Xenopus tropicalis: one gene and its partners. The protein of the gene in region 4 binds, or shares a complex with, the protein of the main gene of each other region. Links are inferred from orthologs where the notes say so. Each region holds a gene or a part of one and is shown on either strand. Other genes may lie near its edges.

The links.
Region 1: pigh (region 4) and pigc share a complex: the UniProt entries of both Homo sapiens proteins name them as parts of the glycosylphosphatidylinositol-N-acetylglucosaminyltransferase (GPI-GnT) complex. The link is inferred for Xenopus tropicalis from reciprocal best matches to the Homo sapiens genes PIGH and PIGC.
Region 2: pigh (region 4) and pigy share a complex: the UniProt entries of both Homo sapiens proteins name them as parts of the glycosylphosphatidylinositol-N-acetylglucosaminyltransferase (GPI-GnT) complex. The link is inferred for Xenopus tropicalis from reciprocal best matches to the Homo sapiens genes PIGH and PIGY.
Region 3: pigh (region 4) and pigp share a complex: the UniProt entries of both Homo sapiens proteins name them as parts of the glycosylphosphatidylinositol-N-acetylglucosaminyltransferase (GPI-GnT) complex. The link is inferred for Xenopus tropicalis from reciprocal best matches to the Homo sapiens genes PIGH and PIGP.
Region 5: pigh (region 4) and pigq share a complex: the UniProt entries of both Homo sapiens proteins name them as parts of the glycosylphosphatidylinositol-N-acetylglucosaminyltransferase (GPI-GnT) complex. The link is inferred for Xenopus tropicalis from reciprocal best matches to the Homo sapiens genes PIGH and PIGQ.

Annotation. Positions count from the first base shown.
Region 1 is NC_030680.2:107,288,979-107,295,667, reverse strand, and holds the start of pigc (phosphatidylinositol N-acetylglucosaminyltransferase subunit C), read right to left. Parts: upstream 3,792-6,689; 5' UTR 3,766-3,791; intron 1-3,765. Other genes in the region: suco (SUN domain-containing ossification factor), read left to right, coding at 4,319-4,368. UniProt on the Homo sapiens protein: Part of the glycosylphosphatidylinositol-N-acetylglucosaminyltransferase (GPI-GnT) complex that catalyzes the transfer of N-acetylglucosamine from UDP-N-acetylglucosamine to phosphatidylinositol and participates in the first step of GPI biosynthesis.
Region 2 is NC_030677.2:67,792,953-67,799,885, reverse strand, and holds pigy (phosphatidylinositol N-acetylglucosaminyltransferase subunit Y precursor), read left to right. Parts: upstream 1-2,769; 5' UTR 2,770-2,967; intron 2,968-3,949; exon of another isoform or gene 3,950-3,992; coding exon of another isoform or gene 3,993-4,210; intron 4,211-5,508; coding exon of another isoform or gene 5,509-5,659; 5' UTR 5,660-5,695; coding exon 5,696-5,911; 3' UTR 5,912-6,200; downstream 6,201-6,933. UniProt on the Homo sapiens protein: Part of the glycosylphosphatidylinositol-N-acetylglucosaminyltransferase (GPI-GnT) complex that catalyzes the transfer of N-acetylglucosamine from UDP-N-acetylglucosamine to phosphatidylinositol and participates in the first step of GPI biosynthesis.
Region 3 is NC_030678.2:12,647,229-12,652,539, reverse strand, and holds part of pigp (phosphatidylinositol N-acetylglucosaminyltransferase subunit P), read right to left. Parts: intron 4,550-5,311; exon of another isoform or gene 4,528-4,549; intron 4,408-4,527; 5' UTR 4,400-4,407; coding exon 4,318-4,399; intron 3,495-4,317; coding exon 3,422-3,494; intron 2,720-3,421; coding exon 2,601-2,719; intron 622-2,600; coding exon 509-621; 3' UTR 1-508. UniProt on the Homo sapiens protein: Part of the glycosylphosphatidylinositol-N-acetylglucosaminyltransferase (GPI-GnT) complex that catalyzes the transfer of N-acetylglucosamine from UDP-N-acetylglucosamine to phosphatidylinositol and participates in the first step of GPI biosynthesis.
Region 4 is NC_030681.2:52,819,305-52,824,207, reverse strand, and holds part of pigh (phosphatidylinositol N-acetylglucosaminyltransferase subunit H), read right to left. Parts: intron 3,481-4,903; coding exon 3,271-3,480; intron 1,942-3,270; coding exon 1,858-1,941; intron 609-1,857; coding exon 513-608; 3' UTR 1-512. UniProt on the Homo sapiens protein: Part of the glycosylphosphatidylinositol-N-acetylglucosaminyltransferase (GPI-GnT) complex that catalyzes the transfer of N-acetylglucosamine from UDP-N-acetylglucosamine to phosphatidylinositol and participates in the first step of GPI biosynthesis.
Region 5 is NC_030685.2:21,238,125-21,244,269, forward strand, and holds part of pigq (phosphatidylinositol N-acetylglucosaminyltransferase subunit Q), read left to right. Parts: coding exon 1-76; intron 77-881; coding exon 882-1,002; intron 1,003-1,348; coding exon 1,349-1,475; intron 1,476-1,645; coding exon 1,646-1,799; intron 1,800-3,575; coding exon 3,576-3,687; intron 3,688-3,780; coding exon 3,781-3,861; intron 3,862-5,321; coding exon 5,322-5,436; intron 5,437-6,013; coding exon 6,014-6,075; intron 6,076-6,145. UniProt on the Homo sapiens protein: Part of the glycosylphosphatidylinositol-N-acetylglucosaminyltransferase (GPI-GnT) complex that catalyzes the transfer of N-acetylglucosamine from UDP-N-acetylglucosamine to phosphatidylinositol and participates in the first step of GPI biosynthesis.

The DNA of each region.
Region 1 (6,689 bases), on a different chromosome or scaffold from region 4:
CTTAGTATCTGAGATTAAACTTAGGCAAGCATTTGTCATCCTTCTTATCATCAGGCTGACAAGCTAACTACGTGGCTTTGGTTAAGTAACTGAACATATTCTCAGATCTACCAATGCACCGATCAAAGTCTAGTGGTACAAATAACTGCTCCAACTCAGTCAGATGGATACTTTAGTCATGAACTTGATTCAATATTCATCTATGGATAAACTACCTGATAGCTACATAGATCCTGTTTACTACATTGGCCAAATGTACATTATTTTCACTCCAAATAAACAAAGGCTGACATGCTCCCATCTTAAGCTAGCCATACATTGCATTTTCGTATGGTTTTCAAACCGTGTGTGGGCTACGAATTAGTGTCCTGATAATTTTCATACCATAGCAATCAGTAATTTAGTCGATCGGACAGGTTAGAAAATTTAAGTTGGATGAAGATAAAATCTGTGCATCTGTGTCCTTGGGGGACCTAAAATGCATTCCCAGAAAGTTACTTTCATACGATTAGCCAACTTTCCCACATACAAAACATTGTCCAATGGCTTTATCCTACAATTTTAGTCTGAATTTTAGTTTTAGATCGTTGCATTTAAACATACAATGCATATCCGAATGTTCACTGGAAGAAGACTAAAATTTGATCATGTATGGCCATCTTAAAACTGGAGTGTACTTATAGAAGCCTTCACACTGCAGTGATGCCACATTTTGCTGCAACTGCAATTGTGCTTCAGACAATAATAAAGGCAACAAAGTGTGGGCCAATAGGAAGTGCTTTTGACTACAGCATTTGTAAGCTGTGGGGCTCAAGAGGTTTAGGGTGCCCTAAAATAATTCTGCTGCAAGCAAACAGATTATAAGCCTCTGTTCTATTTCTTGTACAAAAGCTAGTTTCATGAATTAACATGTAGAAGAACTTGGTATAATAAGATGTAACATTTTTATGTGAAGTGGAATATGCGCTATGTGCAATTCCGGCTCACTGAATAACAATGGGCAAATCTGCACAAGTGTGGTCACCCAAAGCAACAGTCAGCAATTTAAATTACCCAATTTGAAATCCCATTATCTCACAATGACAAAAGTCAAACTAACTCCTAATATTAGAGAAAATCAACACAGAAAATGTGGAATTTCTTTCTTCTGATCACACAAAAGATATGGTAAAAATAAAAGAAGCAATGTCCTACGCTACCTTTATAATACCATGAGCAAAATGCATATGCTTTAACAGCTTCATGGAATATGTTTCTCTTCTGAATTGTGTTTACTCTGGTGTGAGACAGGCAGGGGGTAGTGGCAGAGATTTACTGACCTGGAAATATTCTATTTGCAGATCAAAATGACCTGTGTTTTTAATCCTCCACCTGATAACAGCACTGCCACGTTGCACTGAGCTTTTTTCAAAGGTAGTTATGTTCTATGTACTTAATAAACAAAGCAGGCTAAACAGTAATCAAGAGACATTTTGCTAAATGTTAGTAGGCACATTTATTTTATAACGAAATGGAAAAGTAGAATACAATTTAATCTTTATGAAAACTTCAGACTCTTTATAATGTAAAAAAAAAAAAAAAAAATCAGTCAGATGAAGCTCAAAAGTAAACAATTTATTGTAAGTGACTTCTTTAGGTTTGCCATGTGGTATAATTAGTCTGGGCACTATTCCGGGCACCTTTGTTAATGGGAATAAATAACTATCTTGCTCTGGACTGCAGCTTATCAAATTTTTGTAGGAAGAAACCAGGTGTTGGTTCACACATTTGACATTGACATATACAGTACAATTCTTCTGCGGAGGAAGCATGCATATACATTGCCGGAACTACACTGCAAATCCATTAAGTAACATGGGTTGTTCTGACCAAACAGAGGGTCTTTTTCAAGTGTAAAAGATTCAAGGGACAAACACAGATTTAAAAAGGAAAATATATGTCTAAAACACATTGGCAAAAAATGAGCACAATAAAAAAAACAAAAAAAAAAAACAACTTATGCTTAAAGGAAAACTATACCCACAAACAATGTAGGTCTCTATAAAAATATATTGCATAAAACAACTCATATGTAAAACCCTGCTTCATCTAAATAAACCATTTTCATAAAAATATACTTTTTTTTAGCAATATGTGCTATTGGGTACTGCTAAATAGAAAATTACCATTTTAAGAAGTAATGGCCGCCTCCTTGGATCATAGTATTAACGGTGCACACAAACAAGCCAAGGCACACATACATGCTAGGCCACATCAGCCAATTATTGGGCAGAGTTCTGCCCATATTATTAACATAATATAAACTATCTGTTGGTTAAGTATTCATTCTGGAGGTATAGTTTTGCTTTAAAATGTATTTTGCCATATACTCCTAATTTTTTTCCATTATAAAGCACTGTTTGAAAAGCCCCTCCTTTATAGACAGGGCAATTTGTTCAGAGATCCTTATTTACCTTCAAACAAATATACAATCCCCTCCCTTCCCTAAGGTGCAGGGTTTGAACAGGAGCTTCTTAGTGGAACAGGAAGTGCTAAAATGAAACTGGTTTCCTTTTCTTATTTTTTTCTTAACGGTTTCTTCATTAAAACAACAGACCTAAGGAATGTATTAACCTGCCTATTACACAGTAACTTGGATAATTCCATCTAATGAAAGGCAACTGCTAAATTTTAGCCTTGCCTCAAACATAGGGGCTGATTTACTAACCCATGAATCCGAAGGGGAAAAATTCAGATTGGAAAACGAACATTTTGCGATTTTTTCGTCGCCGTTACGACTTTTCGTAAATTATCGCGACTTTTTCGTAACCATTACGACTTGCACGAATTGTCGCGACTTTTTCGTAGCCGTTACGATTTGCTCGTATCTTGTCGCGACTTTTTCGTATTGAGCGCTCGTAAACTGCGGGCAAAACTTTCAGACTTAGCATGATTTTGGAAGCCTCCCATAGGACTCAATGGCACTCTGCAGCTCCAACCCGGCCCAAGGGAAGTCTCCCATAGGGCTCAATGGCACTCTGCAGCTCCAACCTGGCCCAAGGAAAGTCTCCCATAGGGCTCAATGGCACTCTGCAGCTCCAACCTGGCCCAAGGAAAGTCTCCCATAGGGCTCAATGGCACTCTGCAGCTCCAACCCGGCTCCAAGACCCTTGATAATGATAATGGTCTTAGGAGGAGACCGAAACGTTGGCCTGTTTTAACAGCATGTTTAAATAAAAGTAACGTTTTAATCTTTAAAAAATATCCTGGTGTGCACCCAATTTTTGGATAATTAGACACATGGAGGTAGCACCCAGGTGATTTATATTAGGGGTTTGGTGTGCTGAAAATTTTGTGGACTGTAATATATATATATATATATATATATATATATATATAGATGAGAGAGAGAGAGAAGGAGCAAGACTACCAACTGGCAACTTAAGAGACAGTATATAAAGGAGGCAGCAGTTACATATTCAAGAGCTCACTTACAAAGTGCAGGGCTGTTGCAAACTACAATTTTGTACTTTTTTCCGCACACTACAGTAGCAAGCCTTTGACTTATGGAACCTACTTTCTGCCGTTCTGTGCGGACACCTACGCAGAGAAGCACTAGCCATATTCCCCCCACCCCATATGTCAAGGCTAATATTGTCGCAACAAACAAAATGAAATGTATAGCAAACCGCAGTGACAGTAGGCAGGTTACAATGTAGGGAAAAACAATGGAGAGACCCTGTGGGTAGCTACCAACTCAAAAGAAAGCTGCCAGTAAGTGGGTACCTGATTTCCTAAAGCCAGGCTTCCGCGTTTCTCCAGCCCCTTGCAACCTTTGGCTGAGCAGCCAATCAAGAGCGGTCGTATCTTGAAATGCTATTGGCTGTCAGAACCCTTTCACTAGAAACAGGAAAGGCCACAATAGTTGCCAGGGGCGCCTTGATTCCAATTCGCTTAACACGAGTCTCCGCCCCCAGTCCATTACAGAGGCCTTGTTGTTCAAAAGAGCTGAGGCATCCTTTCTGGACCAAACCAATGCATTTGAAGGGGGAGGGTTGTAAAGGCTACGTCTGATTCGCTAACCTCGGCCGGAGTGACGCGTCTCCTTCCGCCTAAGCTGGCTGTGCAGTTGGAGGCATTCGCAGGGGATCGGCCGCGTTGGAGGATTGTAGCGTGGTGTGGGCAGTGCTTTTACGAAGGGGAAGTAGGGGAAACAGTGGCACGGCTCTCCCCGGCGCCATACACCAACGGGGACATTTTCAATGGTGGCTTGTACGACTAGTGCTCATTAAAGTACACGGGAAATGCCAGCGAGGATGAGAAAATACGTCCGGGAAAGATGACGAAACGGGTGTTTATTATATTCTGCCTCTTTCTGGTTGGCTCATGGTGAGTGCTTAGGGCCCTGCGCCTGTCTGTTGGAGCGTAAATGCCCACATTGCTGTTACTCGCTGACAGGTAGTCTCGCTGTCATGTACCCTGAATGAAGGGGGGGGGGGGTCTCCCATCATTGTGTGAAAAGCAGTGTCCTAGGAGTCCTGGTCTTAGTATAAATGTAACACTATGCCATTACACCAACAATAATTTCACTTTTTCTTCATGTTCATATGGATGAATTAAATGGAATCTTCTCCTAAAATGTATAATGAAATTGTAATTCCCAGCAGCTTTACAGTATACATTGATTTAAAACACTCAGTGATTTTTAAGCTATTTCTAAATGTAATTGCTGGCTGAAAGTTGTAGCTGCCCTGCTGCTTATATTCTCTGCACTGCTGGCTGTGACTCCTGAAACAATGTAGCAGCATGCATGTCAAAGATTGCTTAGAGTTCTACTTTCTTTCATTATGCCAAAACCGTTTTGCCCCTTAAATAATAACTGGCTAGCTAAGAAAACTTTTCCTTTCGTTAGTACACAGAGAATACCTCTTGGCTTTTATTTTGGCAGAGCTTGAAAGCATAGTCCAGCAACATGTTTAGCTGAGAGATACCATCAGAAATAGTTTCTGTAGGACTTTCCCTAAATGACAGCTGTGTGTTATAATTGGAAGATCTGCAAATTGTGGGTCACAAGCTGCTTGTTATTGCCCCATGTTCATTTGTTGTAATGTATCTTCCTATGGGCTGTGATAAAAAAATTATTTTGAATATCTTTACATTTGCTCATTATATTTCTGACTGCCTATGATTATGAAAGACTTCTGTTTATAGTTATGCTGGGGGAACCAGAATTGGGTCTCATTGGTTTTCCCAGACCTGGAATATCCTGTATCTTTTATATTAAAGTCTTATTTGCATTTAATATAATTATTTTGATTTAGATTTTTATTCACTAGGGAATGCCTACACTGTCATAGATAGAAGTTGGAACTGCTGCTGAGTCAGATTGACAGCATTCTGTTGTATTTAGTTTCAGGGAATGTGATTATGAATGCAGCAGTTGGTATCATTTTAAGGGATGCCGGGGTTGGCAAATTCATATATTGACTAATGGGAAAAAAACTTTCTAATATACATTAATTGAAACTTTTCAGTGTTTTTAGGTTTATTTGCAAATGTAATTGCAATTCAAAGCAGGATGTGCATGGCTCCATATATCCACTACTTCGAACTGTGACTCCTGAAACTATGTATCAAAGGCAGCTGTTTAAAAGACCTGGATTAGAAGTGATTTCTGTTACATTGTTTCAAAAGTCAAAATCAGAAGAAAGTGCAAAGAACAGAAAATGATAATCAAATACTTTTTTTCAGTTACATTTACCAATAGTCAATAGTGAATAATTGAAAAATGTTTAGAATTACTTTTTTTTTTTTACAAAAACAGGTTTTTGTTGGTTGTCTCTTTTGACCCCATAGTATTTGGGACAGCTGCTGTCAGGGATTATCAACAACTGTTTTGCCATAGTAATGTAAGGGCTGAGCATAATAAAGTTAAATAAAGAGTTAAGCTTGACAATGTATGGTATTTGACCAGCTAACCTGTGGGGGCAAACGGATGTATACCATATGAGGGGCCATCTTTCTATTGTTCTGCTTGTTTGGGTCAGAAGGAGGACCTTCTTTTCCTCATCTGCTGCTGTACCATACACTGACTGACATGATGGGATTGGCTGATTACATTTCCAAACCAGCCTGATCAACAAACTTGATATCCATAGTACAAATATATTGTTTGGGATTATCGGTTATAAAATATTGTTTTGATTTTAATTGTACACTGAAAATAAAAAGTCTACAGCCTGCAAAATGGCAGAATGTATTTCACCTTTATTGCAAAATTATCTATACAAACAAATCAGAATCTGTTTATTGGAAAAAAAAGAAATCCTTTAAAACCATGGTTGCATTAGTGCAATTAAAGCACCTTTTTGATTTTATTACAGCACTCAGTCTTTTTAGGTAAGAGCGTCAGTTTGGCACATCTGGACTTTGCAGTTTTTACCCACACCTTCTTGCAAAAGTTTTCCAGATCTGTCAAATTAAGAGGGTATCTTCATGCTGCAGACGTTTAATCAGATTAAGGTCTGGACTCTGGCTTGTTGGTCATTCCAGAACATTGATCGTCCTTTGAAGCCATTGCTTTGTTGATTTAGATGTATGCTATGGGTTGTTGTCATGCTAAGGGCTCTGGCACACGGGGGAGATTAGTCGCCCGCGACAAAACTCCCTGTTCGCGGGCGACTAATCTCCCCGAGTTGCCATGACCCGCC
Region 2 (6,933 bases), on a different chromosome or scaffold from region 4:
GTGGGCAAAGTTTTTGGCTCGGGGGCCACATTTACTCACAGGCGGGCCAGGCCGGGCCAACGTCCTCCCACCAGCTCCCCCCCCCACCAGCATCCTCCATCTCTCCGACCTGCAGCTCTCTCCATCGTTCCGCTGAGTCTGTTCCCCGGCTCCCCGCTGCATCCTTTTTTATGGTTGCGCCCCCTGCGCACGAGCACGCACGAAGCGCAACCAATCAGGGCCCAGAAATTATTTAAAGGGACCCGGAGTCAGCGGGCCGGATTAAAAAGGCCAACGGGCTGGATGTGGCCCGCGGGCCGTAGTTTGCCCACCCCTGTACTAGTGTCTACTGCTGGGTGTGTGGAGATTTTTAGAGACTAAGGGGCAGATTTACTAATCCATGAATGGACCGAAAGCGTCCGAACGCGGGTTTTCGTAATGATCAGTATTTTTGTGACTTTTTCATCACCGTCGCGACTTTTTCGTATGTCCCGCAATTTTTTCGTCGCCAATACGACTTTTTTGTCGCCGTCGCGAAAAAAACGGATTGGTTTTTCCGCCGTTTACTATTGCTCAATACGAAAAAATCACGACGCCGATGAAAAGACTCTTACATCAAGCGCATGTGCATAATGAGCTAGCGGGAAGACTGGAGAAAAACCCGATTGGCTGGGAGCCCCAGTGCACTTATGGAAGAAAAGGAGGATCCAGAGAGTACCTGGCTTTGGAGCCAAAACCAAGGGTGGGGTTGGCAGGTTTTTAAAGGGCCCCTGCTGCAGTGCCAGCCATAGAGAACCCGATCCAGAGGAACAGAGAGCAGCAGACAGGTGATTGCACTGCCAGTAACCAGAAAGGTTACAGAGTGCTCAGCTGGTTTTTGAGCTCCAGCCTAAATGGAGAGAGCATTCTGCATCTTGTTAAACTGCCAGTGGGTTTCTGTTGTTATCCTTGTATGTTCCCTGTGTGAGGGCAGGTGTTGATCGAGTGCCTGCAATGTGGAGCAACTGCCTATCCAAAGGGAGTGGTACTTTGGGGCAGGTAGCACTACAGGGGAAACTAAAGAACTCTTGGGGAAGGGACTTTGCCAGAGACTGAACTGGGAAAGGGTATTTCCACCAGGAAAGAAGTGTGGGACTGTGTCCTAGGAGAGACTGTGCCAAAAGTTTAGTTAAAATGCATGTTAAATGAAACATGCATTTCCCAAAGCAGGGTCATATTATTTGCCTTTTACAGTGATTACATTTTTCTAAATTGCTATATAAAGTTTATCTTTTCTGCAAACTGTGTGTGATTTATTTTTCTAGTGGAATCCCCCTGAGGTGTGCTCCTCAGTGACCACTAGGTGGAGGCACTGCACTGTAAAACCCAGTTCCCAGAAGTGAGTGTAATCCAATTTCTGCAGAAGTGTGCCAAAAATAGGTTACAGGGGAAAAATGAGAGGATGATAGGTGCACTTTAAAGCTTATTTCCTTTTAAATGGAATTTGGTTCAAGCTACAGACTTAAGCCCTACCTCCCGTTTTGCTGCCCCAAAAGCTTGCTAGCCCTAGCCTCCCATATGTTTGTGCCTGAAACTGTTTCCCTATTTAAGGGGTAGCTTAATTAAATAGAAAAGTCATTCCTGAAAAATCCCTTGCTAGTTACTGGCTTTTACTAATGAGGGACATTTAACAATGAGGTGCTCAAAAGACTTCTGCCCTTTTAGATCAGATTCTGTTCAGGCTACAGACTCTGACCTTATCTCCCAATTTGCTGACAAGTAGCTTGCTGGCCCTATCCTCCCCTTAGTCTGTGCATATAACTGCGTTACTATTCTTTCTTGGGATAGCTTGAGTTGAAGGAAAAATATTAGTGCAGGACCAAAACAGCTCCCTAGTGTTCTGTTAATTCAACCACATCGGATTGTCCTAACCAAATAGGTCCCTAAACTCCACCTAACCCAGAAAACAGTCAAGCCACCCAGGGCGCGCTGGCTTTCTATTAGGGATGCACCGAATGCACTTTTTTTTTAGCATATGCTAATTAGGATACGGAAGGGTTAAATTTCTAACTTCCGTGTTTATGTGACAAAAAGTCACGTGATTTTTAAGATTCGGATTCAGTTCTGCCAGGAGCCGAAAAAAGCATAATCTTGGCCAAATCCTGGATTCGGTGCGTCCCTACTTTCTATCCACTACCTGACATATAATGAATAGAGTTGCCTCCCAGCAGTTATTTTACAGGCCTGACCAATAAAACTGAAATTTGATTCCAACAGTACTAATAGACAAGATAGCTACCAACAAGAGAAGGAATGGTATTTTTTGTAGAAAAGGTGGCAACACTAACAGTAATTCACCAGCTTCTCTATGCACACTCATGACAACCAGCTCCCCTAATGATCAAATACCCCTTGCAGCCGGTTAGCCTGCTGCCATGTTGTTTTAATTACTGCTGGCTTAGAACAAACTGGCCATACACACATCAATAAAATCATACAAAACCTAGTCTCAAACAATTTTTGGACCGTGTGTGGTCTCAGAATAATCGCCCCCAAAGTTTGTCAGAAGAAGAACTGAACTTGTATGGAAAATAAGGAAGATAAGATCCAGCCACAGCAATGTAAAATGTCCCTGTGCACAGGAAATTGCAGCAGACAGAACAATCTTTATCTAGTGTCCATTTTAAGATATCTGTGTGTGTTCAACTCCCTCCCCACCACAGAAGCCCCCCCCCAGCTCCCTACCTGTCACATACCCCATCCGACTAGCTCCATACTCCCCCTGACTTCCTCCCTGTTTTATCCATGCTGTAGCTTTCTACCTTGTCTACTCCCTACTCTGTGATTCTTTGTGCTGCAGCATTCTATACTACCCGCAACCTGTTCAGTGCAGTATCAGACTGGGCTGCTGGGGTACTGGGAAAAAAACCTGTTGGTCCCCGGCGGGCCAGATCCCCTCCCCCAGGGCTCTCCCGCGATCCACCGTCACCCTCCCCCAACATACCGCAGGTAAGTTTCTTTTAGAAGCATGGTCGGAGGGTGTTTGGGGCCTCTGCAGGGGTTGGGGGGGGCTGGGGTTCCTGAGGCAGAAGCCCCAGTGAGCCCTGCACCCCCCAGCCCGACCCTGTTTCTGTGTCCTATAGGGTTCTCAATTTATTGCCCATGAACCTTTTCAATGATCTATATATATGCTGTGCCTTTCCAGCTTTCATTTGTATTTTGCCTGACGAAGGGGCCTGGGTGCTTCAACACAGGGTCAGACTGCGGAGTGAAGGGCCCACTGGGGCTCCCGCCCCAGGGGCCTTGTAGGTGCCCGTGCAGGGCCCCCCACCTGACATCCTCCCCCGAGCGTGTAAATTTAACACGTCAGGGGAGGAGCACTCGGGCAGGGGGAGCATCGGCAAGGGTCGGGTCTGGGCCGCCAGGGCCCACTTTTCCCGGTGTCCCAGCGGCCCAGTCCGACCCTGCTTGGACAGCTTGCAATTTTTCTTACTCAGCCAATAAAAGGTATCAGATTTTCTGCATTGTTTTTAATGGCTAACACAGTACAACATCTTAATTCCATAGGATTCCACAGTGAACAAAGCTTTTTGCTTTTAACAGGAATACTGTTACTGTATTCCTGTTTACCTATAACTTATTTTGAGCACTGTTAGAAATTAAATTGCTACCACCTGTCAGGCAATGTGGGCTGGTACCTGGTTTAACACAAATACAGAAGGAAAAATCGCCTGGCAGTGAATGGGTTACATATCTGTGATCGCAGGAATCAAAGGGCAAACCAGATTCAAGCAATAATATCAAGTAAAGGTAGTTTAACATTACAGAAAGACTTTAATCACAACTCTTTCAGATATATTTTGAGGGTTTTGCAGGCTGTGGGTTTATATAGTTACATGCACATGGTAGGAACCACTGAGACTGCTTTGTGTCGTGTGAGGGGCTGTTTATAGTGCTGCACAGGAAGAAGGGGTGGAATCGTTCCTGGGAAGTAAAGGTTGTGTGTCAGTCAGTTTCTGTGCAGAAAGTGGAACATGCTGGCTGTCAGGGCATGGGGAAGAACATATAATACCTTAGTCCAGCGGAAACTAAACGCTGCCTGTCCCACTGGCGCCCTGCCAGCTGTCACACTGCGGCCCTTGCACTGCTCTTTAGTTGCCAGATCCCCGGAACAGAGCCTGAAGGACAGCAAGACGTTTGATCCTACCCTCTTGCAATTCCTGGTCTGCCCTCTCTCAAGGAAATCGCTGAGGTAAAATACCTGGCACTGGGTTAAAGGGCTCTGATACAGTCAGTATACTGCTGCTGGGTGGGGGGGTCATTAAGATCACCTATGATCCTAAGCATTGCTTCCCCCCAGAGGTGCGGGCTACAATACAAGGATACTGCCCCCTGCAGTGCTGGGCTGCCCCTAGTTTGAGCAAAGTGTCCCATCAGACTTGGGTTTCTCTGACTTAAAGTTATAGCCACGTATTGTTCTATTTATAATTTCTAATTAATTACCCTTTAGAAAGACTATATTGATATTAACCATTAGCCAAATGTTAGGGCTTATATTGAAAATATCGCTGCTTATTTTTATTGAAAGGGGAACTACAGTTTATGAACCAAAATTTGTTAAAGAGCCCAACACAGAAACCCCTAATATACCTAGCACTGTAAACTGTTTCTTTCTGCTAAACCTTCTAACCTTCTTTCTGCATTATTTAAAATCCTGGGAAGAGGATTAAAGAAGAGGGACTAAAACACTGATGTTACAAATTGTAACAACTTCTCCACATCTTACAGACAGCACTCAGAAACTACATTACCCACAATGCATTGCCCAGTGATGTTATTTTCCCTATTCCTTATTATATGTGCGGGGAATTGTGGTAACTGGAGAAGGCAGGCTGAGGACAGTCTACTGCATTTTATTTGAGTCTCAAAGTAGTCAGTCAGGTCAGCAGGGGAACAGGGTGTCCCATACACCTAAGCCTGTACTCTGTATAGGGAAATATTCAGTTTATTAACAGCAAGCAGATGTCTCTTTGCTATTTCAAGCTTAACTAGAACTCCTAAATGCATTTTATATATATTATATATATATATATATATATATATATATATATATATATATATATATTGAAAAAAAGACCAGCAACACCGGATCTATTGCAAACAATCAATTATATATTGAAAAATACATGAACAGCCAACGTTACGTTTCGGTCTTGAGAAAGGTCCCGACGGGGACCGAAACGTAACGTTGGCTGTTCATGTATTTTTCAATATATAATCGATTGTTTGCAATAGATCCGGTGTTGCTGGTCTTTTTTTCAATATTTAAACTCTTTTACCGTGCACCCGGGACAAGGATTGAAGCGGTGTGCCACCCTTGGCTCGATATATATATATATATATATATATAATATTGATTATGGAATGACGCTTGTGGTTTGAAATGTACTGATTTTGGTGATCAAATTTCCCGACATTAAATATAAACGGCTGTGATTCCCCATTCATTGATCCAGATCTGATTGTTTATATGTCATTTTTTTTCCCTAGATATGAAGAATCTACCAATGAGTTAATTAATGACGAGCTGGGTATAGCTTACCCAATTGTTGATGGCATCCCAAATATGATACCACAGGATGCCCGCATGATTCATAAAGATCAGAAGCCTGAGAGCCCAGACACAGAGCAGACAACATAGTTTTTTGGATTTGTTCCTGCAAACAATAAAGAAGCCATGTTTTTCTCCCTCCCTGTGCTGACTGTGCTCATTCCTCTGGTGTCTTTGACAGGGTTATTATACTCTGCCTCAGTGGAAGAGGATTTCCCAAATGGATGCACCAGTACAGCAAGCTTGTGTTTTTACAGCCTTCTGCTTCCCATCACTTTGCCTGTCTATGTGTTTTTTCATTTGTGGACTTGGATGGGACTCAAGCTCTTTAGGCACAATTAATGCATAAATGAACAGAAAATATCTCATTCATCCTTCTGCTTTCAGATAAGATATGGAGAACATGTTTTCAGATTGGTCGGTTACAGCTTTGCATAGAAATATTAACATTTAATAGAAATAAAATGAATGTAATTGTTTTGATTTTTGTACTTTCCTTTCTATTTGAGCTCCTTTAAAGACTCTATTCCTAAAGGTACACTTACCTGGGTGCTGCCCCATTTGTAAGTTAATAGGAGCTGCTCTCTGGCAGCTTATGTGCTTAACAATAAAATTGAAAGCAAAAAATGCATCCTAGTTACTGATGCAATAATTGTCGGAGTGTGGGGTGCAGGGCTCACCGGGGCTGCCGCACGTGTAAATTAAAATTACTTTTAGCACGTTGGGGAAGGGAGATCTGGGGCCCAGTCCTACCCTGCTTGCTTTCTTTAAAGTCATTTAAAATCGTCATTCCAAGTCCCTTTTCTATATTATTATTGACAGTAATGAAGTGCTGGCTGCTGGGGTCAGTGACTTCCATTTGAAAGCTGAAAAGAGACTGAGGAGAAAAGCAAATAATTCAGAAACTATAAAGAAATGAATGCCAGTTCTATAACATACTAAAAGTTAACCTAAAGGTGAACCACCCCTTTTATGCCTTAGTTTATACATTCAGTATATACATCCATGCAGGCCCTTCTGGGAGAACATGAGGTTTCATCAAGTAGTGGTTATCTACTTTACATGTGGAAGGGAAATCATTGTAGGTGACTATTGACAATGTCATGAAACCAAAAGATAAAAGGGGATATTTATAATGGCTGCAAAGTGGAAAAAGACACAGTTGGCTGTTTTTTACACTTTGCCAGAATGGGGCATTGTGCAAATAGCCACAGGCCTCTAAACTCTGGCAGAGAGAACCTTGAATCGACTGCTGCCTGTGCTAGAGAGAGCTTAGTTCAAAAGAGGCATGCTGGGAATGTACAGATACAGGCAGTGAGTTATCACATTTTATCACAACATGGCACTATTCTTCCAATACATTG
Region 3 (5,311 bases), on a different chromosome or scaffold from region 4:
TTTTACTGCTCTTATTTTTAGATGTTTATCTTTCTTTTCTAGCTCTCTCCTATTGATCTTCCATCATACTGATTTTTAAACTGCTAATTGGTTGCTAAGATCATTGAGCACTAGCAACCAGATAGCAGCTGAAATTCCAAGCCTCAGTGTTGCAGAGCAAAAAATGGTTTGTATGGGTTTTCAAAATGACAAATATTAAATAATCACTAATTGCAAACTGTCTTAGAATTCCAATAAAAGTGAATTTCAAGGTAAACTGCTTTTTTTTTTATATAGCAAGTGAAGTGGCAGCACAGTATAAATGTGACTGGGAGCATAGACCTCTGCAGAATCTGCTGTTCCCACATCTCCAAGTCTGCGCATTTGCACCTCTAAATAAAACACTTGCACCCATTGGTTTATGGGGCCCAAGTAAAAAAATAAATAAATAAAACACAGTCCAGAAATATATAGCTACATGAATTATCATAAAGAATGGGGTTTTGTGGGTCCGAAGGATCTTCCGGCATCATCTCTCAGTGAGGAAGAACATTTTATTAACCTCGCTGATGGAAATGTCCCTCAGTGCTGGGATGGCATCCTCTTGGCACGCCTTCTCTTGCTGATTTTTGGCATAAGAGTCTGGAAATTGTGGTAAAAATTTACAAATTACAACACTCAGTGGCACTGAAAGAACAGGTACCGCTGATCATCTATTAGCTCTGAGCGGCACTGGGAGTTCTTGAGGTTGCCCATAACTGCAATAAACTGCACTAGGATATTGGCCAATCTAGTGGCTGCTTTCAGTCTGTATACCCAGCATGCATTGCAATCCTTGGGCTGACAATGTAGCACCAAGGGAGGTTATTTACAGAATATATATATATATATATATATACAGTGGTGTGAAAAACTATTTGCCCCCTTCCTGATTTCTTATTCTTTTGCATGTTTGTCACACAAAATGTTTCTGCTCATCAAAAACCGTTAACTATTAGTCAAAGATAACATAATTGAACACAAAATGCAGTTTTTAAATGAAGGTTCACGTTATTAAGGGAGAAAAAAAACTCCAAATCTACATGGCCCTGTGTGAAAAAGTGATTGCCCCCCTTGTTAAAAAATAACTTAACTGTGGTTTATCAATTTCAATTTTCAATTTCAATATCAATTTCTGTAGTCACCCCCAGGCCTGATTACTGCCACACCTGTTTCAATCAAGAAATCACTTAAATAGGAGCTACCTGACACAGAGAAGTAGACCAAAAGCACCTCAAAAGCTAGACATCATGCCAAGATCCAAAGAAATTCAGGAACAAATGAGAACAAAAGTAATTGAGATCTGTCAGTCTGGTAAAGGTTATAAAACCATTTCTAAAGCTTTGGGACTCCAGCGAACCACAGTGAGAGCCATTATCCACAAATGGCAAAAACATGGAACAGTGGTGAACCTTCCCAGGAGTGGCCGGCCGACCAAAATTACCCCAAGAGCGCAGAGACAACTCATCCGAGAGGCCACAAAAGACCCCAGGACAACATCTAAAGAACTGCAGGCCTCACTTGCCTCAATTAAGGTCAGTGTTCACGACTCCACCATAAGAAAGAGACTGGGCAAAAACGGCCTGCATGGCAGATTTCCAAGGCGCAAACCACTTTTAAGCAAAAAGAACATTATGGCTCGTCTCAATTTGCTAAAAAACATCTCAATGATTGCCAAGACTTTTGGGAAAATACCTTGTGGACCGACGAGACAAAAGTTGAACTTTTTGGAAGGTGCGTGTCCCGTTACATCTGGCGTAAAAGTAACACAGCATTTCAGAAAAAGAACATCATACCAACAGTAAAATATGGTGGTGGTAGTGTGATGGTCTGGGGTTGTTTTGCTGCTTCAGGACCTGGAAGGCGTGCTGTGATAGATGGAACCATGAATTCTACTGTCTACCAAAAAATCCTGAAGGAGAATGTCTGGCCATCTGTTCGTCAACTCAAGCTGAAGCGATCTTGGGTGCTGCAGCAGGACAATGACCCAAAACACACCAGCAAATCCACCTCTGAATGGCTGAAGAAAAACAAAATGAAGACTTTGGAGTGGCCTAGTCAAAGTCCTGACCTGAATCCTATTGAGATGTTGTGGCATGACCTTAAAAAGGCGGTTCATGCTAGAAAACCCTCAAATAAAGCTGAATTACAACAATTCTGCAAAGATGAGTGGGCCAAAATTCCTCCAGAGCGCTGTAAAATACTTGTTGCAAGTTATCGCAAACGCTTGATTGCAGTTATTGCTGCTAAGGGTGGCCCAACCAGTTATTAGGTTCAGGGGGCAATTACTTTTTCACACAGGGCCATGTAGGTTTGGATTTTTTTTCTCCCTAAATAATAAAAACCCTCATTTAAAAACTGCATTTTGTGTTTACTTGTGTTATCTTTGACTAATAGTTAAATGTGTTTGATGATCAGAAACATTTTGTGTGACAAACATGCAAAAGAATAAGAAATCAGGAAGGGGGCAAATAGTTTTTCACACCACTGTATATATATATATATATATATATATATATATATATACACACACACACACATATACACTAGATTCTATATACTGTAGCCAGAGTCCCACTTACCTGTTACAGTGTGTATGGAGTCTAGGGGAGCAGTGCTCATCATGTTTATACCAAACAGAAAGATATAGGCGATGCCGAACACAACGAGGAGGTAGACGGGCACTGCCACAGCCCAATATCTATAAACACAATTTGTAAAAGAAACTGAAATGCCAGACAACAAAGGCATTACTATCAGTCTGCAATTACTATACTGTAGGTAGGACTTTGTGGCTGCACACAATATGTATCCTGTTATCCTACTGACATACTGTGCCACATTTACTAACAAATATGCTCTAATTTGTGCAGAGTAACTGATCACAGATGTGCATTCATTCTTCTGTCTGCAGGAGTCTGATTAAAGCTAATTGTTTTACTGAAGGCTTTGGGTGCAATGGGGCTAATATACCTGACAGGGTTGGACTGGGCCGCCGGGACACCAGGAGCAGCCCAGACCCGACCCTTGCCAGCGCTCCCCTGGCCTACGGTGTTCCTCCCCTGATGCGTTAAACTTAGGCGCGTTTAGGGGAGGACGTTGGGCAGAGCCACTGTGGGTGGTTAGGGGGTGTAGTGGGGGCCCCTAGGGGATGCAGGGGATGCGGCTGGCAGGGCACCTCCAGTGCCCCTGGGTCGGCAGCCCCGGTGGGCCCTGCACCCCCCAGTCCGACCCTGATGCCCGATGTTAGTAAATGATCCCCTTCTGTGTATCTGGGGCTACAAAGACTTTTCAGACTGACACTATACCATGTAAACCTGCAGCCATCCTGCTTTGCCCAGAGAGAAAGGGAACACAGTGCATACAGTACAGCTATGTGTATAGTGCTTACATCAGTACTTACTTTTGGGGCCAGTACGTCAGTCCTAATGAGTGTAACCAAGACTCTGGGATGAAGCCCCACGTTAGGTACAGAACTGAAAGTACAAAACAGCAGCTCAGTCACAAATACCAGAAAGACCAATTAAATAAGTGCAGTAGGGTGCAAATGCCCAAAAGTAACTGTATCCTAGATTGTGACCAGTGTTTTGTGGCATAGCTGAGAGGTGGCTATTAGGTGCTGTGCAATAATAAACAGAGACTATGGGGCCCCCCAATGGTTTAGTTGGGTAGGCCAAAGGTTTGAGAAGTGCTGGCCCTGTTAGAGGACAGAAGTAAAGAAGTAGTGATGTGCGGGTCAGGGACCTGCAGGTTGGGTGGGCTTGGGCCGGCAGCCACACAACTTTCTTAAGCCCAACCTGACCTTACTTTGCCCGCTTACGCTTCCAAATGTCGCTATTTATTGATTTGTGCCTGTGTGCCCTGGGCCTTTTGTGATGACAGAGATGGTGGGTTGGCCAGGGCTACAAATTCCGAGGCTCGGCGGGTTACTGTCCAGTGCAGATCAACTTTTTGTCGACCCACACATCACTAGTAAAAAGGAGATAGAGGCTGTCAGGTTCTCTGGTGGCCCTGGGGAGCCCAGTCCAAAACTGAAAAGGGGAGCAAGGAGTAATGTGGGGAGCAGTATTGGCCACTACGGTCCCTTGCAATGAGAGGACTGAATGGACATGATATTTCTTTATTTAAGCTTTGATCCATATGAGTGATCCGGAGACAGGTGGTGACCAAAGCTTCAGGGGCACAATAAAACATGTTGTATGGAAGGAGCTTGTTCAGCAGAAGATGGCGGCCTGTACGTCTCACTAGCACAGAACCAACTGCTCCAATACACAATGATATGCAAGTGCTGATACTCACTGAAGCCAAACTGGGAACCCAAATACAGAACGAAGCCATAAATTGCCCTTTCAGGTAGCGGGGACGGGGAATTCTCCACCATTGTGATATCTGGAATAAAAAAGGGATAGCCAATTAGGCACTTTCCATTGCTCACAATAGAAGACTTTAGGAATGAGACCCACAGTTATAAACGTTGTTTAATGCCCAGAGAAAGGAGAAAATAATCACCATTAAAAAAACAATAAACTTCAGCCCCTTGAATATAATTTGGTTGTGCCTGATGCTCACTCGGGTGGAACTGTATCAACACAATGAGATTCCATGTGAGGTGCGACTGCTGATAGAGGGAGTCAGGGAAAGTTCATTGGGGTTAATGAGTAACTGGGCCAAGGCCCCGGGAGTGCGGCTCTGGTCACTGTAAGGTCATGGGCTGGCCAGGTGGCACCGAGGCTCAGAAAACTCTATGAACGTCACCCAAAAACTAGTGTTGCATAAAACAATATACATTCACTAACGTGCGATATAAGTTTTGTTTAGATGGAAATCTCTGAAAGCAGTTTATCCATTCTGTTCTCTCGTCTTGACTCCTGAAACAAAGTAGCAGAAGTCTGTTCTCCTCCGGGTCTGTTGGCTTCTGCTACACTGTTTCAGCAGTGATAACCGGCAGATTCTAAACAAAACACCAGGCTTCCCAAGTAGTAGACAATAATGGGCCCAAAATGGGGTAGTTCAGCCCTTGGGCCAACATTCTGGTCATGTAGTTGACCTAAAGTCCTCATTTAGATACCAACTGGGAAAGAGACAGGTTTGGGCAATAAACTATTCAAAAGGGGGCAATTTGGTAAAGAGTGGCCAAGTCTGGTGCCAATGTCTGCAGGGTATAAGCAGTTCATGTACCCAATGGTGAGCTTATCCGATAGGCTTTATCCCTTGGCAGAGGTACTGGTCTCATTCTGCCCAGTCCAACAAACAATACAGATCTCCTCTTCTGTGTGCACTGCCATGAATAGTG
Region 4 (4,903 bases):
TCATTGTTTTCATCTGCCTCTAAGAGTTAGAAAATACTACAAATCAAGTATATTTTGGGAGTATATTTTAGAGAAATGTGTAAAGTGTTTTTTGCCCTTTGTTTACTCTGACCCATAATCTTTGCAGAGGAATATGCGCTGCATGTATTATTCTCAAATATTGGCAAATTGAGATTTACCTCTAATATAGTAAATTTGATAAATGCTGATCACTACAGGATTTTTTAAAAAATTTCAAATATAATAGTAAAAAGTGGATTCTCATGAGTTATCTAAATTAAAATATACGAAATAAAACGAAATATAAAAAAACAGTATCTTTTGACAATACTAGACAGACCATAATTAGAAATCCCAATGCTAGGTAGTACCACCAAGATTTTCCTGCATCCAAAAAGACTCTACAACAAGTTGTAGTAACTAGCTGGAACCAGATCTCCTATCATTGTAGACTTCTGTCATTATAATTCTATTTCAGTAATAATAACTTCTGTCATATCTAATATCCAAGGTTAGTCCATAGTTGCCACGTTATGGCTCTTCACAGATAAGATCTCCTGACAGCTTCTGTAAACATCTGTCAAACAGTCCATGCGGGGCTTGGAGCTCTATATATGGATAACAGAATATGTTGAAAAAACAGGTTAATTAATCAACATAAAAAGGTCGTTTTAAACAGAAGAAAAAAAGCTGGCTATACATGGGCCAAACCGGGACAATGATCAATCAGCGCAATTTGGCACAGCATATGGGTGGCCAAACAGGGCCATATCTACTCTCTTGGAAATTTCTCCAACAGAGCAGATCCTGCAGTGTATAGCCTCCTTAAGGCAAATAGATTTTAATACAATTTTTAAAGCAGGTCATCCATTCAAAGGATCAGTAAACTTTCAGTTTATACATTGCCTATTGCCCCAAGACAATATGAAGAAGTATATGTATAATTATGTTCCTCTTGCTAGCTATGCTAGCATGTTCTTTCTGGCATCAGGTTGTTGTCAAAGTGTCTACAGGAGGCCATGCAGCAGATAACAGTTACAATGTATGATAGTTTTGACACAGGCACTTTTGAGTCTGTAGACACAAACTGGTGCTACAGCAGGTAAGGTAACCCACAAATTTCAAAAGATTGCAAATAGGATGCTGTTAGAATAAAGTAACCAAACAATGTTTCCAGAGTCTCCACTTCTGCACTAGTCAGTTAGGAATGTATGGTACCATACATTTTTTTTTTCTTGAAGGAAATAGAAAAGAAAAATATTAGAGTGTGCTGCTGTTGATTCTAAGAAATCAGAATATAGGTTAGTAATACGCTTCTATTTTTTCATGCACCCTGCAGCACACAGACATATTATGGGGTAAAATAATGCAATTTCAAGACTGGGAAATAGAACTTCAACGACCACCTGCTGAACCTTCCTACCAAAGGATGCATCAGTAAAAATGGAGACATTCAAATGATTAACAAAATGTATTTGGGCCAGACCAAACAGTTACTTTATTTTTGAGATATCTAAACATCTTTGTCCACCTCCTCTGCCAAAGAGATGACTATTAATCCTATAAAATGTGCTTTAATTTTAAAGGTAGTTTTTTTCCCCTTCTTTGCCTCCTTCACAAGGGGTGCAGAAATGGAGGTTGTCTTGGCACACATTAACTTTAATGGAAGTTCTACTACATTTATTCAAACACTTGTAATTTTTAACAAATCAAAAGGGTGCAATGGTAAGTCGTAACCCTGGCTATTTCCTTTTTTTCTGTTATGAAGGAGCCAAAGGAGCAGAATTGGGGCACACTAAAGTTAGTCAAGTATAATGCTATGAAAAATGAGAAAGGCAAACAAATGAATTTTCTTACCTGAAACACAGGCACAATTTCTGAAATCTCTTTTGGGTCAGTGGGATCTTTAAGCAGTATGCACAGGTAGTAGACAACCTTTTGCTGAAAGAAACCAGATTAAAGTTAGTAGGAGTTTTAAATGTAACTTTACAATGGGTAAAGTTTTTACACCAGGAAAAAACCCGGTTGGCCCCGGCGTCCCAGGCCTGATCCCTGCCTAAGGCCCTCCCCCCTTACCCCCTAAGATTGCAACACAAGTATAAGAATGCAACCTGGTGTGGGTGGTGGAGGAGGTGTGACTGGGGTGGGGGGCCCCAAGGTGACTGGGGTCCCAGTGGTCCTTGGACACTCCAGTCCGACACTAAACTAGAGGGCCAAAGAACCTTAACTGTGGTATGACATGTCGAATCCCAGTAGTATGTCAGGATGCAGCCTACAGCGATGCTGCCACTAGAAGCCTTCCTCCTAGCTTTATCCACAGCAACAGAGTGATAAGAATTCTGAGGAAACTGGTTTCAGTGTTGTCTGAAGAATTTGTAGTAATGCAATTAAGGTTTTAACAGCAAATGTTTTTCTCATAGTTTTCACTGTATGCTCCATCTAACATATAACACATATGGGACGTATTATCCAGCATCTGAGGCATTACCTCAAGATTACCAAAAACATTTGAACATAAAAAACCCATTGGCATGTATTTATACAAGTTTGGTTAACATCACCCAAGTTGCCAATTGCTTGTTTAAAAGTGAACCTTTAAGTTAACTTTCAATACATTAACTTTCAATACATTTCAAATGCAATTCAAAACTGGAGAGCTGCTAAACAAAAAGATATACAATTCAAAATCTGCAAAATAAATAAAGACAAATTGTCTCAAAACATCACACTAAAAGGTAATTGAACTGCCCCTAAATGTGACACTATGGAAAATGCGATTCTTTTAATCAGAAAATATCATGTCCAAACCATTCTGTATAATAGATACCACACCTATAGAAAATAGGGTTCATATCTAGTTATTTACCTTTCTTTTGTTGAGAATGCAGTACTGAGTATATATTCAGTGAATCCCAAATTTTATAACACCAGGAAATGCTGGTGCAACTTTGTTATTCAGCCTCCAGTGTACAAAAGTGCTAACCTTCTGCTTTAGGCCAATGCACTCCTATAAAAATGCACCACCAGTATGTACCAGCATTGCGTCAAAATATTTTTAGTTTTGCAGATAATGGGAATCAGCCAGTCCGATACCAGAATATGGAAAAACACACTTTAAGATTTTGTAATTAGACAGGATTACATGCTGCAAACCAGCTTGAGGAAAAATGTGTTATTTTTTTAAAAAGGGTCTTTTAAGGTGGAGTTGGTCTTTAAAGAAATACATAATGTGCTTTTTTTGGGGGGTGGGGGGGCAAAATGGTCTCCTACCATAAAGAATGCTTCATTGATGACAACATCTTTCACTCTGCACATTTCTATGAACACTGTGCTTTCTTTGCCTGATGCAAATGAGGTGGTCAGCTGAATCCCAAGGCTGCCGATAAGCAGTAACGACTCCTGGTCAATCTTCATGAAATGGAGGTAGAGTAGCAGGCCGCAAATTGTGCAAATTATTGCAGCAGACAAAACAAGTGTGTTCTGTACAGGAAAACAGATACAGAATGAAGTGTTCAGTCAGAACGGTTTTATCAAAAAGAGGATGCCAAATGCCCAGTCAAACAGGGCCAAAGTCATTGGGACACAGCCCCTGGATTAAAGGGCAAATCAAATAATATAACAATTGTATCCCAAACTTGACAAAAAAAAAAATATCAAAAAAGAAAATTAAAAAAGAAATACAGATTTTCAAATAAAAATGTGATTTTCTTTTTAAATTTTCTTTTTAGATTTTTTGTCAAGTTTGGGATTCAACTGTTATATTATTCAGTCAGAGATGACAATACTACAGTACCCAAATACTTGCACATTTGTATAAATTTAGGTCACACATCTTTTGTCAGTTACTAGCTCTTTTAGGCTGATTCAGAAGTTGGCACCCCCTAGCAATTTTTTTTACATCCTTATATATATTTTGCAATAGGGAATTATATAACATACAATGCATGATAAATATATACAGTGAGGAACATAAGTATTTAAATACCCTGGGATTTTGCAAGTTCTCCCACTTAGAAATCATGGAGGGGTCTGAAATTCACATTGTAGGTGCATTCCCACTGTGAGAGACAGCATTAAAAAAAAAAAATCAGAAAATCACATTGTATGATTTTTAAAGAATTTATTTGTATTGCACTGTTGCACATAAGTATTTGAACACCTGAGAATCAGGTGTTAATATTTGGTACAGAAACCTTTGTTTGCAATTACAGAGGTTAAACGTTTCCTGTAGTTCTTGACCAGGTTTGCACACACTGCAACAGGGATTTTGGCCCACTCCTCCACACAGATCTCCGCTAGATCTGTCAGGTTTCGGGGCTGTTGCTGAGCAACATGGAGTTTCAGCTCCCTCCAAAGATTTTCTATTGGATTTAGGTCTGGAGACTGGCTAGGCCACTCCAGAACCTTGATATGCCTCTTACAGAGCCACTCCTTGGTTATCCTGGCTGCGTGCTTCGGGTCATATCATCTTCAATGCTCTGACCGAGGGAAGGAGGTTGTTGCTCAAAATCTGACAATACATGGCCCCATTCATCCTCTCCTTAATACAGTGCAGTCATCCTGTCCCCTTTGCAGAAAAGCACCCCCAAAGCATGATATTACCACCCCCATGCTTCACAGTAGGGATGGTGTTCTTGGGATGCAACTCATGCTTATTTTTCCTCCAAACACGGCGGGTGAAGTTCAGACCAAAAAGTTCTACTTTGGTCTCATCTGACCACATGACTTTCTCCCATGCCTCCTCTGGATCATCCAGATGGTCATTGGCAAACTTCAGACGGGCCTGGACATGTGATTACTTGAGCACGGGAACCTTCCGTGCAGGTGGACTATTAAGGCTGATGCCACACGTGGCGTTTTTACACTGCGTTTTTTCTCAGCCTAAAAACGCCGCACAAGCCAC
Region 5 (6,145 bases), on a different chromosome or scaffold from region 4:
AGTTGGGAAAACGCCTGGAGGATATCAGACTGGTTAGCAGCGCAGAGAGAGCCAAGGATCATATACAGTTCATGAGGTTCCTTTACTTTCCTCTATTTGTATTGAAGGACTGCAATTCCAACACCTGCCTGCACCTTCAGTGTTAGATAGGGCTACCCATTATCCACTGTTGAAAATACATTAAAGGGAAAATGCCACTCAAACAGAACTTCAGCATTTTAAAAAGAAGACATAATTTCAAGCAACTTTGCAATATACATCAGTTAAAAAATATGCAGCCTTTTCATGATTTTAATGTAATAATATGGTTTGGAACAGTTCCCTAAGCCCCGCCCCCTGTTCTGCTGATCTGGCTGACTATTTTGAGACTTTGCCGACTGTCCTCAGCCTGCCTTCAGCCTGCATCCTCCATATCCCACGATTCCCTGCACACATGATGTGAATAAGGAAAAGTACATCACAGTACAATGCATTGTGGGTTATGTAGTTCCTTTATGCTCTCTATCAGCTGCAGAATTGTTACAATTTGTAACATCAGTATTTTAGTCCCTCCTCCCCTGCCAGGATTTCAAATGATGCAGAAAGAGAAGAACTGTTTTGCAGCTGGATTTCAGCATATAGGTGTTCTCTATTTATTAGGGATTATTTTGCCCACCATACACTTAACAGCATGTATGTGCAAGCTCACCTACTTGGTAATGCATTTACTTCTAGGCCAGAATATGTTTACCGCCAACAGCAGTCACATTGCTTTTAAGGCAGCTAGAAAGCACCCGTGACTCCTGCCTAGTGCTCTCTTTAAGCCACTTGGCTAGTCTGCTTGCTTCCTCAAGATGTCTCTCCAAAGTGCATAAATGTACCATTTGCTTGTTATTTTTCAGGAAGTCCAACACTGTCGTTTCCATTCTATTAGACATGGCCCTGGGGATTTTACTGATGTCCTGGCTGTACAGAGAGAACCGAATCAGTCAGCTGGCCGACACACTCATGCCCGTTGCTGATGTAAGTCATACACAGGGAACCTGAATTTCAACCCACAAAACCCTTGGTTCATGTTTTTGTAAGCAGCTAAGAAACATAACCTCCCATTTTGAAGGGGAAGTTTGCCTTTAAATGAACTTTTACCATGTTGTAGGCGGACTAAATTTAATTTTAAGTGTAAATCACAGTAATTCATACAAATTACTGTGAGAAGGGATGAGGGGCATTTGCACAGGCAGCAGTGACCAAATGCCCCATAAGACATATGGTTAAAACGCATCCCTCTTTAAAATAATAAAAAGTACTAATCAGGTTTTTTATTGTTAGCATGCATCCCAATTTCCTTCTGTCTCTCTTTTCCCATTAGCGTGTTGCTTTGGAGCTGCAGGGGCTGCTGCAGTGGCTTATGGGTGCTCCGGCTGGATTAAAAATGAACCGAGCTCTGGATGAAGTCTTGGGACGCTTCTTTTTGTACCATATCCACCTCTGGATCAGTAAGCTATACCCATTTCCTTCTCTCATTTTTAATTCTTTCCTTTATCCCTTTTGTTTGGTTTATAAAAACTTAAAAGCAAATCTGATAGTAATGCAAAGGCATGTGTTTGGACTTGAGCCCATTTACTTTATTAATACTACATATTTTCCTAATTGTATTCCTGCGCAGGTTACATTCGCCTGATGTCCCCATTTATCGAAGTCATCCTGTGGTACATTGGCTTGTCAGCCTGTCTGGGCTTGTCAGTTGCTCTGTCCATCCTCTCGGATATCATTGCCCTCCTTACATTTCATATATATTGTTTCTATGTTTATGGAGCTCGGTGAGTGATCAAATATTGCCTTTTAAGGCAATATTTTGTATTGAATTTGCCTTAACTAATATTCATAAAATACTACTTATCTAGGGTCTAGACCAGGGATCCCCAACCTTTTTTACTTATGAGCCACACGCAGATGTATAAAGTGTTGGGGAGCCACACAAGCATTAAAAAAAGTTCTGTGGGGATGCCAAATAAGGGCTGTCATTGGCTATTTGGTAGCCCTATGGGGACTGCTGGCCTGCAGGAGGCTCTGCTTGGAGTAAAACTATGTCTCTGTGCTTCCAAAACTTGCCTCCAAGCCAGAAATTTAAAAATGGGCACCTACTTTGGGGCCTCTGGGAGCAAAATGTTGCTTATGAGCCACTGGTTGGGGATCACTGGTCTAGAAGAACTTAACTGCCATTGTAAATATTGTAGCTAAAGGAGAATGAAAGAAATGAATACAACTTAGGGTCCCTGCAGAGGCATCATTCCCAAAGCCCACTACCCACCGTCCCCCATACCATTTTTGTCTTCCTGTCACAGGCTCTTTGGCAATGTTCACTGATTGCCTGGTCCTGACTTCAACTACAAACACATGGCAAACTCTAACCCTTCTGCTCCAATCTGCCCTTAACAATCAAGTACAGAGGAGCAGAGTTGCAATTTTGGACTGTAGATGGTGTAGCTTGGGAAGGTGGGCCTTTGCAAGAGCAACTGAGTTTTAGCTAGACTTGTCTGTACAGCATTGCGATCCCTTGTAATGCCAACCCTCTCTGGGATATGTAAAGAGGTAGTTCACCTTTAAGTTAACTTAATATGTTATAGAATGACTGATTCTATACAACTATTGTCTTTATTTTTTACTTCTTTCCAGCTTTTAAATAGAGGTCACTGACCCAGTAGCCAAAAAACTATTGGTCTGTGAGACTCCAATTTTGTTGTTATTGCTACTTTTTATTACTTCTGTTTAGCCACTCTCCTATTTATATTCCAGTTTCAGGTTGCTAGGGTAGTTTGAACACTAGCAACCAGGTAGCTGCTAAAATTCCAAACTGCTCAACCAAAAGCTAAATAATTAAAAAAAAAAGAAAAACACACACACAAAATAAAAAGTAAAGACCAATTGCAACTTGGCTCAGAATATCAAGCTATACATCATACTAAAAGTTAATTCAAAAGGTGAACCATCCCTTTAAGACAACATTATGTTTAAGTGACAGGTGTCTACGGTTATGTATACCTATTGGTTGCTTTAGGAGCTTTAGAAAAAGCAGTATCCCATAATATTTAGGGACACAATGCAGATAAAACCTTTTTGCCTGAGAATTTTGCAGCCAGGTTTGGACACCCGGTAAACTACACGAGCTGGAAGTATCTGTAACTGGCATCTAAACTACTTTTAATACCTACTGAATTGTGTATTGTAAGATTTGGAACCCTTTGTAATAGTTTCTCCATAGGTTCCGTTCCATAACCAGTTTGCATGAAGTATCGCAATGGATAGATTTGCACGCAGGCAGTGACCCATAGCAACCAATCAGTGGCTGGATTGCTGGCTGAACAGTAAAAGCAAATATTTGCTTGTCATGGGTTTCTGCCCAGCTGCAAATTCGTGCAGTGTTTATAAAAGAGCCTCACCATGTTTTTCCTTATGGTTATTATGATTACTATGATTATTGCAGTAGAAATGCTACATAGAACATCTACTTTACTTATGTATCATTATAGTGTGCTATCCCCTGTCTCTTAAATTCTGGGAGTACAAGTGATAAACTGTCCCTTCTTTTACACTAGCCTGTATTGCTTCAAGATGCACGGACTCTCTTCTCTCTGGCGTCTCTTCCGGGGCAAGAAGTGGAATGTTCTTCGCCAGCGAGTGGACTCTTGCTCTTATGATTTGGATCAGGTACCTCGGCCTGGTTGCAGCTGCCTAGGGAAAGCATACATAGTGCAGCACAGGATTATACCTCAGGCTTATCTCTGCTCTTTTCTATTGCAGCTTTTTCTTGGGACCTTGCTCTTTACAATCCTGCTGTTTCTCCTGCCAACCACAGCCCTGTATTACCTGGTATTTACTCTGGTACGTGTTTATCTAAAACCTAAACATATTGAACCTAAAAATAACATTTCACATTGATGCAATAGCTAAATAAATAATAGACATCTAATTTGTGGTTTTAGGACTGATTACATGGACATAGACTCATAGATACACTTGCCAGTGGTGTGTGCCCAGAGCCAAATGGCAAATATTAACTTGAGTAACCATCAAAGAAATTTGATGTTTGCTAAATTTGCCCCTTTGTTTTTTTGGAAGCCCAGGCATCAAACTTTATGTGATATAATATTCGCTGAAGAACAGAGCCAATTACATTGAATCTTAAAGAAATACTGTCATGGGAAAACATGTTTTTTTCAAAACGCATCAGTTAATAGAGCTTCTCTAGCAAAATCCTGCATTGTAATCTGTTTTTCAAAAACACAAACTTTTTTATATTTAATTTTGAAATGTCACATGGGGCTAGCCATATTCTTCATTTCCCAGGGTGCCACTGCCTTGTGACCTGTGCTCTGCTTCAGCCACACTTTACTGCTGAACTGCAGGTTGGAGTGATATCCCCCCCAGTAGGCGATCAGCAGAACAATGGGAAGGGAGCAAGATAGCAGCTCCCAGTAGGTATCAGAATAGCACTCAATAGTAAGAAATCCAAGTCCAGCTTGGGACTCCTCCAGTTACATGGGAGTAGGAGAAACAATAGGTTAGCTGAAAGCAGTTCTAAGGGCTCTGGCACACGGGGAGATTAGTCGCCCGCGACAAATCTTCCTTGTCACGGGCGACTAATCTGCCCGAACTACCATCCCACCAGCGAAAATGCAAGTCGCAGGTGGGATGGAACACACTGCGCAGGCGATTTCAGCAAATCGCCGAAGTTGCCTCGCGAGGCAATTTCGACTTACATCTCCCCGTGTGCCAGAGCCCTAATGTGTAGCGCAGGCTTCTTCTGAAAGCTCAGACTCAGGCACAATGCACTGAGATGGCACCTACACACCAATATTACAGCTAAAATAAATACATTTGTTGGTTCAAGAATAAAATTTTAAATGGTAGAGTGAAAATCATGACAGAATCACTTTTAGGCTAGTGTCACAGAATCACTTTTAGGCTAGTGTCACAGCCTGCAGAAAAATCCAGGCTGAGAATCAGCCCCTATGCTGGCACCAGACTCCATGCCTGCACCCGGAAGCATTGTGTTCACCTGAGTGCAGACAGATGTGGTGAATACCAGCCAAAAACGCAAGAGTTTGCATTTCACAGCCAATATCCACAGTGTCTGCTTGCACTTGGACAATACTTCCGGGTGCAGGCAAGGTAGGAGGCTGAATCAGCCCTGTGTGGCACTAACCCTAAGAATAAATGGAATACAGTGCTGGAACAAAGGGGAAATCATACTATAAATTATTATTGGAATGGAACATCTTGGTATGTCAAGTAATCTGGTAGGACCTCTTTCATCTTTTTATTTTACTTGTCTTGGACAGCTACGTCTGCTTGTGGTCCTGGTTCAGGGTGTCATCCATTTGATTGTAGATCTGCTGAACACTCTCCCACTTTATGCTATGGTCTTGCGCCTCTGCAGGTCGTACAGGTTGGCAGGTGAGCAGCTTTTGTATAATAACTCTTTGATGCAAACCCTGCTGTTTATGCTGCTCAGATTGTAGCATGTAACTGAAAAAAGCCAGGAAATGTGTATGGGGCTTCCCTCGGGCTGGCTGCACATTGCTAAAACTGAAGAGGGAACATAGAGGAATATGAAGAGTGGTGCTTCACTGGAGATGCTGGCTGCCTGTTAAAAGAACTCACCTCTCATTATGAGCTGCTGAGCCAGCAGGCAGTTATTAGCAGCATAAAACTTTAAAACACATGTTCACCAATAGTCTGTTTCCTAATGGTCAGGCCTGATCTGTATTGTAAAGGTATTGTATTGTAAAGGTGGCCATACACTGTAAAATCTGCTCACTTGGTGAGGTTGTCAAGCAAGCAGATCTTCTCCCGATATACCTACCTATGTCGGTCAAGGAGGCCCGTCATTGGTGCCCATACACTGGCAGATAAGCTGCCAAATCAGTCTAAAGGACCAATATTGCCAGCTGAAATTGTCCCATGTATGCATCTTCCCCACAAATTTCAAACACATGCTTGGCTCATTCATTATCTGTTTTTTTTTTTTAAGCTGGTGTAAAATTCCGTATGCTGGAACAACAGACTGGGAAGCCCCTTCGACTGCTTATGCAGGTAATGCCAACTCTGTTTTACATTCAAAAGGGGCAGCTTCTTTTAGTAAGGTAACATAGTAACATAGTAA